Ovis aries: one gene and its partners. The protein of the gene in region 1 binds, or shares a complex with, the protein of each later gene. Links are inferred from orthologs where the notes say so. Each region holds a gene or a part of one and is shown in the gene's direction. Other genes may lie near its edges.

The links. The genes of interacting proteins can lie anywhere in the genome.
Region 2: SEH1L (region 1) and NUP37 share a complex: the UniProt entries of both Homo sapiens proteins name them as parts of the nup107-160 subcomplex of the nuclear pore complex. The link is inferred for Ovis aries from reciprocal best matches to the Homo sapiens genes SEH1L and NUP37.
Region 3: SEH1L (region 1) and NUP43 share a complex: the UniProt entries of both Homo sapiens proteins name them as parts of the nup107-160 subcomplex of the nuclear pore complex. The link is inferred for Ovis aries from reciprocal best matches to the Homo sapiens genes SEH1L and NUP43.

Annotation. Positions count from the first base shown.
Region 1 is NC_056076.1:43,683,344-43,689,012, forward strand, and holds the start of SEH1L (nucleoporin SEH1), read left to right. Parts: upstream 1-2,186; 5' UTR 2,187-2,312; coding exon 2,313-2,423; intron 2,424-2,636; exon of another isoform or gene 2,637-2,930; intron 2,931-5,167; coding exon 5,168-5,218; intron 5,219-5,669. UniProt on the Homo sapiens protein: Component of the Nup107-160 subcomplex of the nuclear pore complex (NPC). The Nup107-160 subcomplex is required for the assembly of a functional NPC.
Region 2 is NC_056056.1:171,512,259-171,517,479, reverse strand, and holds part of NUP37 (nucleoporin Nup37), read left to right. Parts: intron 1-3,000; coding exon 3,001-3,125; intron 3,126-5,221. UniProt on the Homo sapiens protein: Component of the Nup107-160 subcomplex of the nuclear pore complex (NPC). The Nup107-160 subcomplex is required for the assembly of a functional NPC.
Region 3 is NC_056061.1:73,997,898-74,002,476, reverse strand, and holds part of NUP43 (nucleoporin Nup43), read left to right. Parts: intron 1-478; coding exon 479-601; intron 602-3,667; coding exon 3,668-3,897; 3' UTR 3,898-4,579. UniProt on the Homo sapiens protein: Component of the Nup107-160 subcomplex of the nuclear pore complex (NPC). The Nup107-160 subcomplex is required for the assembly of a functional NPC.

The DNA of each region.
Region 1 (5,669 bases):
CTAAATTATGGCACAGGACTGAAGAGTGACACACGCCTGAGATAGGTCAGTGACGGTGTGGTGCTGGCCTTGCCAGATGAAAGCCAACTGCTCCTGGGGGTCTTTACTGACAGGGGAGGGAGAGAATGGCATCTGTCAGATCAACATCCGCAAAGCTGGTGCTGGAGATGTGTAAGTTCTCAAGCATTGAAGCCACATTAGACATCAGTGAAACATCCGAGAGCTCTCCCTGCACACAGAGTAGGCCATGTGAGGACATAGCAAGAAGGTGGATGTCTGCCAGTCAGGAATAGCACTCTCACCTTGAAATGAAGTCTTTTGCCACCTCGATCCATGACTTCCAGACTCCAGGCCTGTGAGAGAACACATTTCTGTTGTTTAAGCCACCCAGTCTGCAGTATCTTACTGTGGTACCCAAGCAGACCAGGACAACTGTGAAAGTGCATTGCTAGCCAAGCCTGTTAAAGCAAACTGTTTCTGGTGGAAATCTTAATTAGCAAGTATTGAGGAAAATGTATCTGTCAGACCCAACTGCTGTGAACCAGCTCCCATGGGATGAGTTAATCAGCTTGAGCAATGAAACAACATCTGTAATAGCAAGGGCAGTTGCAGTGAATGCCTGCCTAAATATACAGTAACGCACCATTATTCTCCAAGACTCACCTGCCTTCTGCACAGGCCAGAGGTAAGCAGCAGTGGGATGTGGTGGGTGCCACCAGCCCTGCATCCTTCAAGCCGTTATTGGTGGCACTAAGCTCTGCAGTACTGTTTCTGGCTCCCTACTCTTCTCAGCAGGGGCAGCTCTAGTGGTGTCCACTTGACCTTTCCCAGCATATAGCCCTCCTTCCACAGGTCAGGGAACCAACTCAAGGATTCTCCCTGTTGCCCAACCACATTCCAGAACCAGGGAAATAACCACAGGATGGCTCTGAGGACCCACTGTGAGACACACCTGAGCCAGAAAACCTCTGGTCAGCTGACCTCCTCAAGGCCTGCTCTGACTGTGGATCACAGTGATATTTTGGGTCTCCTGAAATCAGGGTCAGTTTGGAGCTGCGTGTTCAGAATTCTTGAAAAATCTAATTATTTCCTTTTCCCCAAAGCATAATCACCGTGGTAAAAGGCCCCAGGTCCCCTGAGGGAAGGCTGGAAGATTCAGTGTGTATTTTTGGCAGCACAGTAGGGTCTTTCCTCAAGGTGATCTGGCTTCCTCTTTAATCAAGGGTTTTTGGGTCTGTAAACTGGGTCAAGTGTGACGTTGATTGTAAGGCTGTCACGCTGCTTTTATGAGTTTTGTGAGTATTTTCTCTGGCAACGAGTGTCTTTGTTCTTAGAGCAGTTACAGTAGTTCTCAGTTATCATACCGGCAACTCACGGATTTGGGGGTTTGCCCTTGACGTACCGGGCTACAGTCCACACTGTCACATGTATGTGTCCTCTTAAAGTACCAATAAAATCTTACCATTTTTAGTGGGAGGGGAAAGGCAAGTGAAGGCATTTCCAGTAAGGCCAAACCATTTCTGCAGATCCTGGGGGAACGGGGACTGCCGGGGCCACGCACCCCCCCACCCCTCACCACACACGCTGGACACACGCTCCTTACGCACCGCTAATCTCTGCGCTCACTCCCGGGGCCCTGCCCGACTCCCGGGGCCCAACGCGATGAGACTGACTCAGGGCCGAGGCTTGCAAATGATAGTCTTAACCTTCACATTCCCCTAATCTCCACACTTCGACGGAGAGCTCCTTAAGTCCCCTTAGGGCACCGACGGGCTTTCCTTGTGGCTAAGCGGGTAAAGAATCCGCCCGCAATGCGGGGAGTCCTGGCTTCGATCCCTGGATTGGGAAGACTCCCTGAAAGAGAGAAAGGCTACACACTCCAGTATTCTGGCCTGGAGAATTCCATGGACTGTATAGTGGATGGGGTCGCAAAGAGTCGGACACGACTGAGCGACTTTTACTTCATTTCACTTCAGGGCACAGACTGCGCCGCAGCCAGGCGACAGAGTAACTACCGCGGCCCCCGCCACGCGGTGTTTGACCCACACCCGGGCCTTGACTGGTACGGCGAACCGGGGGCGGAGCCTTGCGGGGTGTGACGGGCAGGGGGCGGGGTCCCGCGGGGTATGACGGGCCAGGGGGCGGGGCCCCGCGGGGTATGACGGGCCAGGGGGCGGGGCGGGCGCAGCCCGGGGCGCGCGAGCAGCACGCGGAAAGCACCGCCGTGCGCGCCCCGGCGCCGGGTCCGGGTGGGCTGCGGTCCGCGCGCCGCCGCGCCGCCGTGTAGGAGGCGGGAGGGGTCCGGCGCAGCCATGTTCGTGGCGCGCAGTATCGCGGCGGACCACAAGGATCTCATCCATGATGTGTCTTTTGACTTCCACGGGCGGCGGATGGCCACCTGCTCCAGCGACCAAAGCGTCAAGGTGCGGGCCGAGCCTGGAAGCGGGCGGGACCTTGCGCGGCCCGCTGTCCGAGCGAGGGGCGCGTGGAGAGGGGAGTGCTCCCGAGTTGAGGCGCCTTGCCGGGCACGAGGCCCGGCGGCTTGGCCGGCGGGCGCCCTCCTCCCGGGTATTGTGGGGTCACTGCCGCCCGGGCCGCCTCTCCGCGGTTGTCTGCGTGCGTGCGTGCGTCACGGCGGCGGGCGCGCTCCCGCTGCGGGGGAAGCAGGGCGCTCCGATCGGCCAGGCTTGCCCTGGGCTCCAGGCTGGGGCCGGAGCACCTCGTGGGAGGGGGATGTCTCGCTTGGCGGTGGTCGGCGGGACCTAGGCCCGCTCCGCGGGCGCCCGTCGGATTGGGCTCCCTCCGTCCATGTATTCACAGCTGGGCCGCGGCTGCGCGGCCCTCGCTGACGGATCTGTGACGAGGCCCGGGTTTTCTCTCCGCCCGCCGCGGCCGCGTGACAGTCGCGATAATTGGCGTCCGTTAACCGAGTAGGTTTCCTTATCCGCTTAAAGCTGTCTTCTAGAGGATTGTCCCGTGTGCGGAGTATTTGTCGGGGTGTTGCAGTGAAAAAGCTTCGTTAATCCCGCTTTTTATGTTTTTTGGAAGTTTTCCTTAGGCTCATTCCAGTAAAGAAATTAATGAGTATTTTAAAAGCTCTTGAGAGTACTTGGTAGATTGTCTTTTTGAAGGTTGTACTGTTTTACAGCTGCCGGTGAAGAGTATCGGTGTGATAGTTGTCCGTGTCGGACATTATCATTGCATTTTTTTCTTTAGTGTTTTCGTTATTGCAGTGAACTACAGGTAACAAAATTTACCACCTTAACCGTTTTTATTAAGTATGTTTGTATCTTTGCATCGGTCACTGCCATCCTCAGTTTGCACTGTCCGCATTAAGCATGACTCACCGATCCCTGAAGCGTCCACCCCGGTCCCCGCCCTTGTACTTTCTGTCTCTGAATTTGGCTACTCCAGCGGCCTCATACAAGTGGGATCATACAGGATTTGTCTTTTTTGTGACTGGCTGATTTCACTTAGCTTAATGTTTTGAAGTTCATACGTGTTGTAGCATTTGTCATAATTTCCTTCCCGAGAAAAGGAAGCGTTTAAATAATCTAAAAACTTTTAAAGAGGCTGAGTATATGTATCTGCATATACCACATTTTACATATCACTCATCTGTTGGTGGAGTTTGGTTCCTTCTACATTTTAGTTGTGAACAGTGCTGCTGTGAATGTGGGTGAACAAGTATAGCTTTGAGACCTGCTTTCAACTCTTTTGGGTGCAGACCCAGAAGTGGAATTGCTGAATCACATGGCAATTCTATTTTTATTTGAAAAAATTTTAATAATTTTTATATATGTGTTGCTGTTCTTGGGCTTTCTCTAGTTGAGGAGAGCGAGGGCTGCTCATCGTTGTGGTGCTCCAGGCTTCTCATTAGCGGCGCTTCTTGTGGAGGATGGGCTCTCGGTCACGCAGGGTTCAGTAGTTGCGGGTCATCTGCTCAAGAAAACGGACTTGCGTTGGCAGGCAAATTCTATCCACCGGGGAAGTCCTGTTTGAAGTTTTATGAGGAGCCACAATACTGTTTTATCATTACATTTTTAAAAATTGATTTATTTGGGGGACATATTACATTTAAAAAACCTGGTTAAAATCTCACGTTATTGTAATGTCTATTTTTTGTTGGTATGAAGGTTCAGTGTTTTGTCTTTGACTGTTATATATACAGTTGAGTCTTGTTATTTGCAAGTTTTGTATTTGTGAATTTGCTTATTCTATAAAGTTTATTTGTAACCCCCAAAGCAACGCTCATGGTTATTTGTTGACATGACCAGGTGGCAGAAAAATTGGAGTTGTTCAGGTTGTGTTCCCAGCTGAGGTTGGACATGTGACACTCTGCCTTTTATTCAGGCTTTCATAGTGTAAACAAGCGTCCTTCTGAGTGTGTGTTTGGTGCCACATTTTTCACATTTTCATTCTTTTGGTGAATTTCACTGGCTGAAGTGGTCCTCAAGTGTAGTGCTGCATAATGTCCCACAGCAAAAAGGCTATGAGTGCCTTCCCGAAAAAGTATGTGTTAGGGGAGCTTCATTCAGACCTGAGTTACAGTGTTGGTGTGATTTCAGTTCAGTCACTCAGTTGCATCCGACTCTTTGTGACCCCATGGACTGCAGCACGCCAGGCTTCCCTGTCCTTCACCAACTCCTGGGGCTTGCTCAAACTCATGTCCATTGAGTCGGTGATGCCATCCAACCATTTCATCCCCTGTCCTTCCCTTCTCCTGCCTTCAGTCTTTTCCCAGCATCAGGGTCTTTTCCAGTGTTCAGTGTTAGTGAATCGATAATGTATACAAAATAAGGTGTTTGCAAACATGCACAGGTAAAACAAGGTTATTGATAGGTTGGTTGATAAATACATTGTGACCAGAGGCTCCTGTGAATTGTACCTGTTTCCTCTGTGGGAGAGTGGTCAGTATTGGCCCAGTGACTTTCTAGGGCAGCAGCACCATAAGTGCCTGACTTGAGTGGCACTGTTATCATCTCCATTAACTATTGGAGCGAAGGTTCCTGGACTGACATGTCCTCAGTCCTGAGTAAATATTTGGTTGAATGAATGAATTTTAATTACTGATTTTATCTTTTGTGAATTTATGTTTCCCTCCTTTGTCCTCACTGATTCAATTAATTTTAGGAATTCTTGGTACAAAATATCTTTTTTCTTACAGGTCTGGGATAAAAGTGAAAGTGGGGAATGGCATTGCACTGCTAGCTGGAAGGTTAGTATTTATTTTTATGGTGATTTTTAAAAATTGAAACATTTTACTATTGGGTAGCATTAGTGACTTTGTTCAGTTTTGAGAATTATAAAATTTATACCTTTTACTTTTTTTCACTATTAAAGTAGCAAATGTGCTTCAGAAAATTTGAAAGTAGCATTTTTAACCTAATTGTTTTTAGCATCTCAGTATGTCTTTCTTATTTCTTTCCTTTACATATTTTAATAGTTGTGATGTTTTGTACATAGCTTTATTTTTTGCTTTAAAAAATAGCTTTACCCCAGGTAGAGTTTTACGTATCTTGAGAATCGTCAATTTTAAATGTACAGTTCAATGAGTGTTAGTAAGTTTACACAGTTGGCAGCTCTACCACAATCTAGTTTTAGAACACTTAGTATCAACAATGAAATTTCCCTTGTGGCAGCTTGGGAGTTAATTTTTCCCTTCTTAT
Region 2 (5,221 bases), on another chromosome or scaffold:
GACTCTTTGTGACCCCATGAATCGCAGCACGCCAGGCCTCCCTGTCCATCACCAACTCCCGGAGTTCACTCAGACTCACGTCCATCGAGTCAGTGATGCCATCCAGCCATCTCATCCTCTGTCGTCCCCTTCTCCTGTCCTCAATCTTTCCCAGCATCAGGATCTTTTCAAATGAGTCGGCTCTTTGCATCAGGTGGCCAAAGTATTGGAGTTTCAGCATCAACATCAGTCCTTCCAAAGAACACCCAGGGCTGGTCTCCTTTAGGATGGACTGGTTGGATCTCCTTGCAGTCCAAGGGACTCTCAAGAGTCTTCTCCAACACCACAGTTCAAAAGCATCAATTCTTCGGCGCTCAGCTTTCTTCACAGTCCAACTCTCACATCCATACATGACCACTGGAAAAACCATAGACTTGACTAGACGGAACTTTGTTGGCAAAGTAATGTCTCTGCTTTTGAATATGCTATCTAGGTTGGTCATAACTTTCCTTCCAAGGAGTAAACGTCTTTTAATTTCATGGCTACAGTCACCATCTGCAGTGATTTTGGAGCCCAAAAAATAAAGTCTGACACTGTTTCCCCATCTATTTGCCATGAAGTGATGGGACCAGATGCCATGATCTTCGTTTTCTGAATGTTGAGCTTTAAGCCAACTTTTTCACTCTATTTCACTCTCATCAAGAGGCTTTTTAGTTCCTCTTCACTTTCTGCCATAAGGGTGGTGTCATCTGCATATCTGAGGCTATTGATATTTCTCCCGGCAATCTTGATTCCAGCTTGTGCTTCTTCCAGCCCAGCGTTTCTCATGAGGTACTCTGCATAGAAGTTAAATAAGCAGGGTGACAATACACAGCCTTGACGTACTCCTTTTCCTATTTGGAACCAGTCTGTTGTTCCATGTCCAGTTCTGTTGCTTCCTGACCTGCATATAGGTTTCTCAAGAGGCAGGTCAGGTGGTCTGTATTCCCATCTCTTTCAGAATTTTCCACAGTTTATTGTGATCCACACAGTCAGAGGCTTTAGCATAGTCAGTAAAGCAGAAGTAGATGTTTTTCTGGAACTCTCTTGCTTTTTCGATGATCCAGCAGATGTTGGCAATTTGATCTCTGGTTCCTCTGCCTTTTCTAAAACCAAGTCAAGTGGGCCTTAGAAAGCATCACTACAAACAAAGCTAGTGGAGGTAATGGAATTCCAGTGGAGCTATTTCAATTCTGAAAGATGATGCTGTGAAAGTGCTGCATTCAATATGCCAGCAAATTTGGAAAACTCAGCAATGGCCACGGGACTAGAAAAGGTCAGTTTTCATTCCAATCCCAAAGAAAGGCAATGCCAAAGAATGCTCAAACTACCGCACAGTTGCACTCATCTCACATGCTAGTAAAGTAATGCTCAAAATTCTCCAAGCCAGGCTTTTTGTCTTAACTACATTCTGAATAAGTTTTTCAAATCTGTCTTCCAGCTTCTCTGAGCCTTGTTTATTTTTTTCTTATGATAGTATTTTCATCTATACTTTTTCATTTAGTTCTTTAATACCTGTCTGGTCATTTTGGGTAATCTCATGTTGCTTAGTCAAATTTTTTGATTCTTTTGTCTACATCCTCAAAAATACATTTTTTTAATCTGATTTTTTTAATGTCTCCAGGTTGATTCTTCTGTTTGTGTTTGTGGTATTTTGTTTTCATATGTAGCAGTGCATGCATGTAAGATCATATCTGATTGAACTATATCTGTGAGAATTTTGAGACCTGGGTAGAGGAAGTTAATCCAAAATGAATTTGCCTTTAGTCGTCAAGTGCTTAGGGCCACTAACAACATATGGACATTTTGAAATAAGTTTTCATTTTCTGGGGCACATAGTTAATGTGAATTCAAGCCCCAAACTTATGTTAAGGCCAGCCAGTGGTTGAGATTTCTCACAAGTTACTTTTTTCTTTTTCTTGACCTTGAGCCAGGGTATATATTTTGCATGGCACTTTTGATTTGGGGTTTTTGTTTTCCCTACTTACACTTTAAAGGTCCTGGATCTATTCAAAGGTCCCTGATCTGCATCCTTCTTTGTGTAGGCACTAAGTTTTGTCTTCTGTCTCCTACCAACAAACATTACTAATTATTGGATATGGGCAGATGTCCTTAAGATAGCTTTGTGCTTCTGTGCTAAGTTGCTTCTCTGGATTTGGATTTTTGCATTATTTTTGTAGTCAGAAAGCTTTTCAGGTTATTGTCCATATTGCCAGACAAAGATGACTTGACTTTTCAAAATTCATTCTTGTCTTCCTATGAGAATAAACTGAAATCATTTTAGTAGTACTGAATTAAATAGATAAGCTGACTTTATTAAACATCTTACCCAGAATCAAATATCTAAAAGACTGATCACTAATTTGCACATCCACTGCTCATAGTAATGGTATAGGTGAACAACAGTTTGTTCAATCCCACACATGTATGAAAGTGAAAGTGTGAGTTGCTGAGTTATGTCCAACTATTTCCATGTAAATCACTGATACTCTTTATAATTACTTTGAGGCATCATAAGGTACAAGGTATCTTATACATAATCAAAACTGCGTTCAGTATATATTTTTGATACTGTTATTTGATAATCCATGCATGTTACTTCATTTACTAGAACATTCTGATTCTTAGAGCATTGTATTTTCGTTGTGTTTGATGTGAAATATATTTACTATTAGGAAGAAAATGTCTCTTGAGATAAAGTATAACAAGTATATTGTTTTTAATTATCTTAGAGAGTTATTTTGTAACAGACAACTTTGAATATTTTTGTTGTCGTTCAGTAAACTGGTTGAAAGAAAGTGAAAGTGAAGCCGTGTCTCACTCTTTGCAACCCTATGGATTATAGCCTAATATCTGATCTGCTTTTTGAACTTCCCAAAAGAATATTCATGGCCCCCTGATAAATTCTTCCTTATAATAAAATACTCAGTTTTATATTGTTTGTTCTCATGACTTATTTAAACATGTACTGTGTATGCTTAGGAGGAAGAAGCAGACGTTGAAGGAATTCAGTATAAAACACTACGAACATTCCACCATGGAGTCAGAGTTGATGGCATAGCTTGGAGCCCAGAGACTAGACTTGATTCATTGCCTCCAGTAATCAAGTAAGTTGAAAATTATTAAATGCAGCGTTTATTAATATCCTTTGTGTTAAGTGATCTGAAGCCTCTGATCATGGGGACATTTTTCCTCCATTTCCCCAACTTCAGGTACTAGGTATTTTAATATTTGCTATTATTTCATAATTTAGGCTTATTGTTTAAATTTGTGACTTATATGCAAATATAGCAGAGATGCCTTGAAGCATGTGTTTGAGCCTGACTACAAAGCTGTTTATGTGAGATTCCTATGAATCATAAATTCTTCACTGAATTTACCACTTATTGAAAGTGCAACTTTGTTAAAATAACTAAATGTGGTTGAGTCGTTAATCAGCCTTACTGCCCCATACATAAAGTGAGGAAAGGAAAGTGAAGTCTCTCAGTCATGTCCAACTCTTTGCGACCCCATGGACTGTAACTTACCAGGCTCCTCCATTCATGGGATTTTCCAGGCAAGAATCCTGGAGTGGGTTGCCATTTCCTTCTCCAGAAGATCTTCCCAACCCAGGGATTGAACCCAGGTTTCCCTGATGGCTCAGAGGTTAAAGCGACTGCCTACAATGAGGGAGACCTGGGTTCGATCCCTGGGTCAGGAAGATCCCCTGAAGAAGGAAATGGTAACCCACTCCAGTATTCTTGCCTGGAGAATCCCATGGATAGAGAAGCCTGGTAGGCTACAATCCACAAGGTCGCAAAGAGTCAGACACGACTGAGTGACTTCACTTTCACTTTCACTCCTGCATTATAGGCAGATGCTTTACCATCTGAGCCACCAACTGTACTTCTAATCTTTGGGCTTCAGTTTTGTTGAAAACGTTTGAAAAGAATGACTACTTTTTGAGAAAAAAAATTAACATACTTGCTGAGGCCTTCTTCACAAAGGCAATGATATGTCAGGTTATTTAAGGTCTGTTACAAAACACTAACCTTATTTCCATAAATGTCAATTCTAAAATGTATGTCTTCGTTTAGTAAACAGTATTTAACAATCATAATTTAGCTCTTACTGAGCTAACCTAATTTTTTTTAATTAAGGGATAATTTATATACAGTGAACTCAACTCTTAACGGAACAGTTTAATCAGTGTTGACAAATGCATGTACTTTTATAACCTAGATGCTAGTAATACATAGCATTTCTGTGACCCCCAAAAGATTTTTTGTGCTCCTTGTGGTTAATCCCTGTACCCCATCCTCTGTCTAAGCAACTATTGATCAATTTCTGTTATCAGAAATTAGTTTTGCCTAATTAACCTATTTCTTCCAATGACTCTTAATTAAATCATTGAAAAGGCATGGTACCAGAGACTTATCAACATATCTGGATCTCTAGATTAGGAGACTTGTTTTAAATTAAGCTTTATTTAAATTAAATAAACTAAATGTTTTAGGTGAGAAAAAAATATTAGCTTTAATGCAGTCAAAACTTGAGAAGTTTAGATCTATATGATACTCATTTACTTAAAGACAATTGGAAATAAGCTCTATTTTTTAATTCAGGCATACAAAGGGTTCCCACCTGGCTCAGTGGTAAAGAATCCACCTTCCAATGCAGGAGACATGGGTTTGATACCTAGGGGGAAGATCTCCTGGAGGAGGAAATGGCAACTGCTCTGGTGGAAATGGCAACTCACTCCAGTATTCTTGCCTAGAGAATCCTGTGGACAGAGGAGCCTGGTGGGCTGCTGTCCATAGGGTCACATAGAGTTGGACATGACTGAAGCGACTTAGCATGCATGCATGCATTGGAGAAGGAAATGGCAACCCACTCCAGTATTCTTGCCTGGAGAATCCCAGGGACGGAGGAGCCTGGTGGGCTGCCATCTATGGGGTCGCATAGAATCGGACACAACTGAAGTGACTTAGCAGCAGCAGCCAGTGTTCTTGCCTGAAAAATCCCATAAACAGAGCTGCCTGGCAGGCTATAATCCATGGGGTCGCAAAGAGTCGGACACGACTGAGAGACTGAGCGCATATGCGTACATACAGATATATAAGTTCTTTCTTCCTCAGCCATAATCTGACATGCTAAGAATCTAAGAATTTTAGGATTAAAGGCAAACTAGTTAAAAAATAGTTATTACTAGTTTGTTTTGTAG
Region 3 (4,579 bases), on another chromosome or scaffold:
CTGCTTTTATGGTCTTCCCTCTCTCCCTTTCCAGTAATAAAACCTTCAAATATTAATGACATAGGAATTGAAAATAAAAGAACTTAACAAGTTTCAAAAATCTTTCAGAATTATCCCATTGTCATATTGGGTTAGCGAAAACTTTGTTCGAGTTTTGGCATAAATTGGTATGGAAAAACCTGAACACACTTTTTGGCCAACCCAATACTTTTCCATATAAAAAAGCAGTAGGTCAGATGACTAGCATTTATGTTCATTCATTTGCTGGCCCGATACCCGAGTAGATTTACTTGACTTCTTTATCCTGTCTACGTTTCAGCCATTTGGAGCATTATATTATGCCTTCTCTTTGACACTGAAGCCTTTGATTTTTATCACAGGCTTGGAGTTTGAAGGTGTGTGACGGAGGTTAATGGACGATATGCCTAGAGGTAGCATTTTGATGTTGGTTTAACTAACCTTGGTTCTTATCTCATAGTGTGGGAAGTTCACTTTCACCCATCCAACCCAGATCATCTGTTCACTTGTTCTGAAGATGGATCTCTCTGGCACTGGGATGCCTCCACAGACGGACCTGAGAAGTCGTCACTCTTTCACCAAGGTAAAATGTTTTAATGAAGATTCTTGTGGGCAGCTTGAGATTATATTTTGGTATGCCAAATGAGAAATACTCATATTTTTAACATTAAGGAGTGATAGAAGGTTTCCATTCTCTGGCCTCAGGGTAGATTTTAGTATCACAGGGCATGAAATCTATCAGCTACTGACCACTATACTGCTGACGACTAGAAATGCTATTTATTAGCTGGCTAACTTTGTAAGTACATTGCTGTGGGCCCTCATGCCACAGAATAGGCACTGATCACTCTCCTATATTACACTGTCAAAGGTGTATGACTCTTTTTATGTATTAAGGTACTGGTTTCTCAGAATAAAAGGCTCTGTCTCCTGATTAAAGACAGAGGTAAGTAAAGGTTGGACTTCCCAGGTAGCGCTGGTTGTAAAGAACCTGCCTGTCAATGCAGGAGACCTAAGAGGTGCAGGTTCAGTCCCTGGGTGGGAAGATCCCCTGGAGGAGGGCATGGCAACCCGCTTCAGTATTCTTGCCTGGAGAATCCCATAGACAGAGGGGCCTGGTGGGCTACTGTCCAGAGGGTTGCAAAGAGCTGGACACGACTGAAGTGACGTAACACAAGTAAAGGTCATCCAGAAACTATATACTTAAAATCAAAATGAATTTTTATTTTCATTTTTGGTATTTTCTAAGCTTTCTGGTTTTGAGCTTGTCTGTGACTGCAAACTTTGTTCATTCACTCAGCAAATGTTTATGAAGTGCCATGTGCTAGGTACCCTTCTAGGTGTTAGAGCCCATGACAGCGAGCAGAAGAGCCTTGAGGCACGTAGAGCAAATATTCTAGTAGACAGTAAGTCAGGAGGTGATATTTCAGTAAAAGTCCAAACAGAAAAGCAGAAACTACCCTGGGTTTAAAAGGAATTGTTTTCATGTGTATTGGGCTAGAAGAACAAAAGGGAATGGGAGGGATGCTGGAAGAGCAAATGGCAGAAAGGAGGAATGCCCAGAAATGAACAGTTGTTACTAACCTCCACTGTCCTGTTAGAAGTGCTGTCAGAGTTGGTTCTGGATCAGCAGAAAAGGTGCCACCTCAGCTGGGGCTGGAATCACTGTAGTGTTGTCAGAAACCTGGAGCTTTTTCCCATTCCCACCTTACTCCCCACAGCTTCTCTGCCTTCGTCACCCACAATAGTTATCTCCCGTGCTCAGGGTTCACCTGGAAGGCAGATAGCAAGGGAGCCTGGGAAAAGAAATTCATTCCGACAGTACATAGTGGAACATAGCAAGGGAGACAGAGCAAAATGGAAAAGAACTGGATCAAATACCCTGATGACCATGCAGAAGAGTGAAGAGAGTAGGATGATGAAAAAAAATTAATTGGGGAGGGGCCGCTTGGCAGAGGAGAGAAGATCTCAGCAGAGACCTGAAGAGATGAAACTACTAGTCACAGGCAAGCATTCCAGTAGAGGAAACACCAAATTCCAAAGGCCTGAGACTGCGAACAGAAAAGAGCCAGTGTGGCTGCAGTTCAGCAGGCAGGAGGGGGAGTAGATGGTGAGAAGGAGCTGAGGAGCAGGACTCTGCAGACTGGGAGCAGCTGAGATTTCTTTCTGACGTCACCAAATGCCACTGGAGAATTTTGAGCAGGGAAGTGGGGTGATTTGTCTTGTATGTTTCCAAACAATCGCTTTGGCAACTATGGGGAGAGGGTTGGAAAAGTGGAAGCAGGAGGACCAGGAGACAGACTTTCCACAGTGGTTCTAATGTTCAATTTCACAGTATTCAAGAGTAATACTGGAGCAGTAAAAGGTAAACAGAAACTAAGAAGGAAAAGTCCAAAACTTCTCCAGAAAAATGCTGGAAAAGTATGGAATGTGCAGAGTATGGAGTATGCCTGTGCTAATAACTTCATGTATGGAAAAACTAATAGTTCTATTAAGTTTCTAATAAATACCCAAGAGTAGCTAAGCACTTGGTTTTTTATTTCTTCTTCTAGCCCCACTATCTTGCATTTGAGATTTTATAGTTTGAAGAATGCTGGTTAGATTGGAAATAGTCATTAACTGTATCCTGTGTCTGGTATTGCAAAGAACAGTATTAGACACTGAAAAAGTTAATCTATACAACCTGCTCTTAAGGAATACTTAATTTAGTTTTAATTTAGGAGAAGGAGCCAAAGAAAGTTAAATCATGATATAAGAAATGTTGCAAATAGTAAATTATTAGGGGTGCATACAAGTGCTGCAGGTTCCAGGAAGAAAAAGAGAAGCATGAACTAGAGTCATCTTGACAGACTTCTCAGAAAAGGAAGTTGAGCTGGGCTTTCAAAATCAGCAAGATTTAAACCCACTAATTTTTAAACTTCAAGGTATGAGAGACTTTGCCTTGTATTCCCAGCACTTAGCACAGAGCCTGGCATATAGTAGGTGTCAGCCATTTATTGAGAGTAAACAAAATCTGTCTTTATTTGATCTGGCAAAAAGTAGAAAGAAAATTTCAAATGAAGGCTAAAACTGAAATAATTAATTCTATGTTAAATGCAGAGCACTGTCAGAGATAAAAGTTTATAATTTGGTAGTGTTCTAAAATTCTACTTTTAAGAACATTTACCTAAAATAAACACAAGAATAAAAGGAGATCTACAGCAAGTTGATTATATTTTTAGAAATATATGTTTTTAGAAATATGTCCAGAAATTTTCTCATGATCACTTCATTTTTTGATTATCTAACCGTGTAGGTTTCTACATATTATCTACATCTATTCTACTTGTCCTCTAACCATTTTGCTACATTTCTGAGACTTTCCATTAAAGTATAAATAGGAAGACAAGGTCAAAATTAATCTTGGGCTTTGCTGAAGAGTTCAAGTTTGAAAGCCATGTTATCCCATGAAAATTTGAGTGTTTAATATCACTGACTTAGAAGCTTTTGGTCAAAAACGGTGATGCGTTATAATGGAATCATCAGCCTGTTATTCTTGAGAGTTAAAACAAGTTTATATCATTACATTTTTTAGATATTAGAATTTCAGAGATTTACTAGTATAAAATTGGTCTTGAACAATGTTTTCCCATTTTCTTTTTTTTCCCAGGAGGAAGAAATAGTACTTTTTTGTCTCATACCATTAGTAACCAAGCTAATGTTCACCAATCTCTTATAAGCTCCTGGCTCAGCACTGATCCTGCCAAAGATCGTATTGAAATCACAAGCTTGCTTCCTAATAGGACTTTGTCTGTGAACAGTCTGGATGTTTTAGGTCCTTGTCTTGTTTGTGGAACGGATGCAGAAGCAATTTATGTTACTAGACAGCTTTTTTCATGAAGATACTAAAAGATTTCAGGTAAAACATACAGTTACAACCTTTCAAATGCCAGTTTCTTTGCAAATTTTTGTTATTGGAAAATGTGAAATTTGCAAGGGGAACAGCCATAAACTATTGTTAATGTTGATGCCCAGTTTGTTAGTTGAATATTGCTCTAACAGTTGCTGGAGTCTGATTGATGACCCATGGCAAAAGAATTGAAATATGTGGCGGAACATCAGAGGAATCCTTGTTCTGATGAATGCACTGCCTTCAGCACCATTCTAGATAGCTCATGGAACCAACTCTCCATTTTTGATGTTGTAGGGCTTAATAATGTCAAACCACCAACAGGTTCCTTTCCTTTTCAGGAGTATGTGGGATATGGTATGTCCCTCCCTGGTGACATTTTTCAATACTAGTATTTATTCTCTTTACTGCAAGTGTTTCTTCAGTCCTTCAACATTTTATTTCCTTAATAATTTCAGTAAACTTTCTTCAGTAAGAATTGAGTAGAGCAAAAATGACAGTTTTTGGTAGTGTTGAAATTTTTTTTAAGGTGAAAATGTTTTGATGGGTTCCTTTATTAGAATGGGTTTGAACAGAACTCTGTCACCTCCTTAGACCCAGCTTTGTTTCTCTTGAAAAAAGACAAAATACATTTTTCGTAAGGATTTTTGCTTTTATTTAGTTTTTTACGCC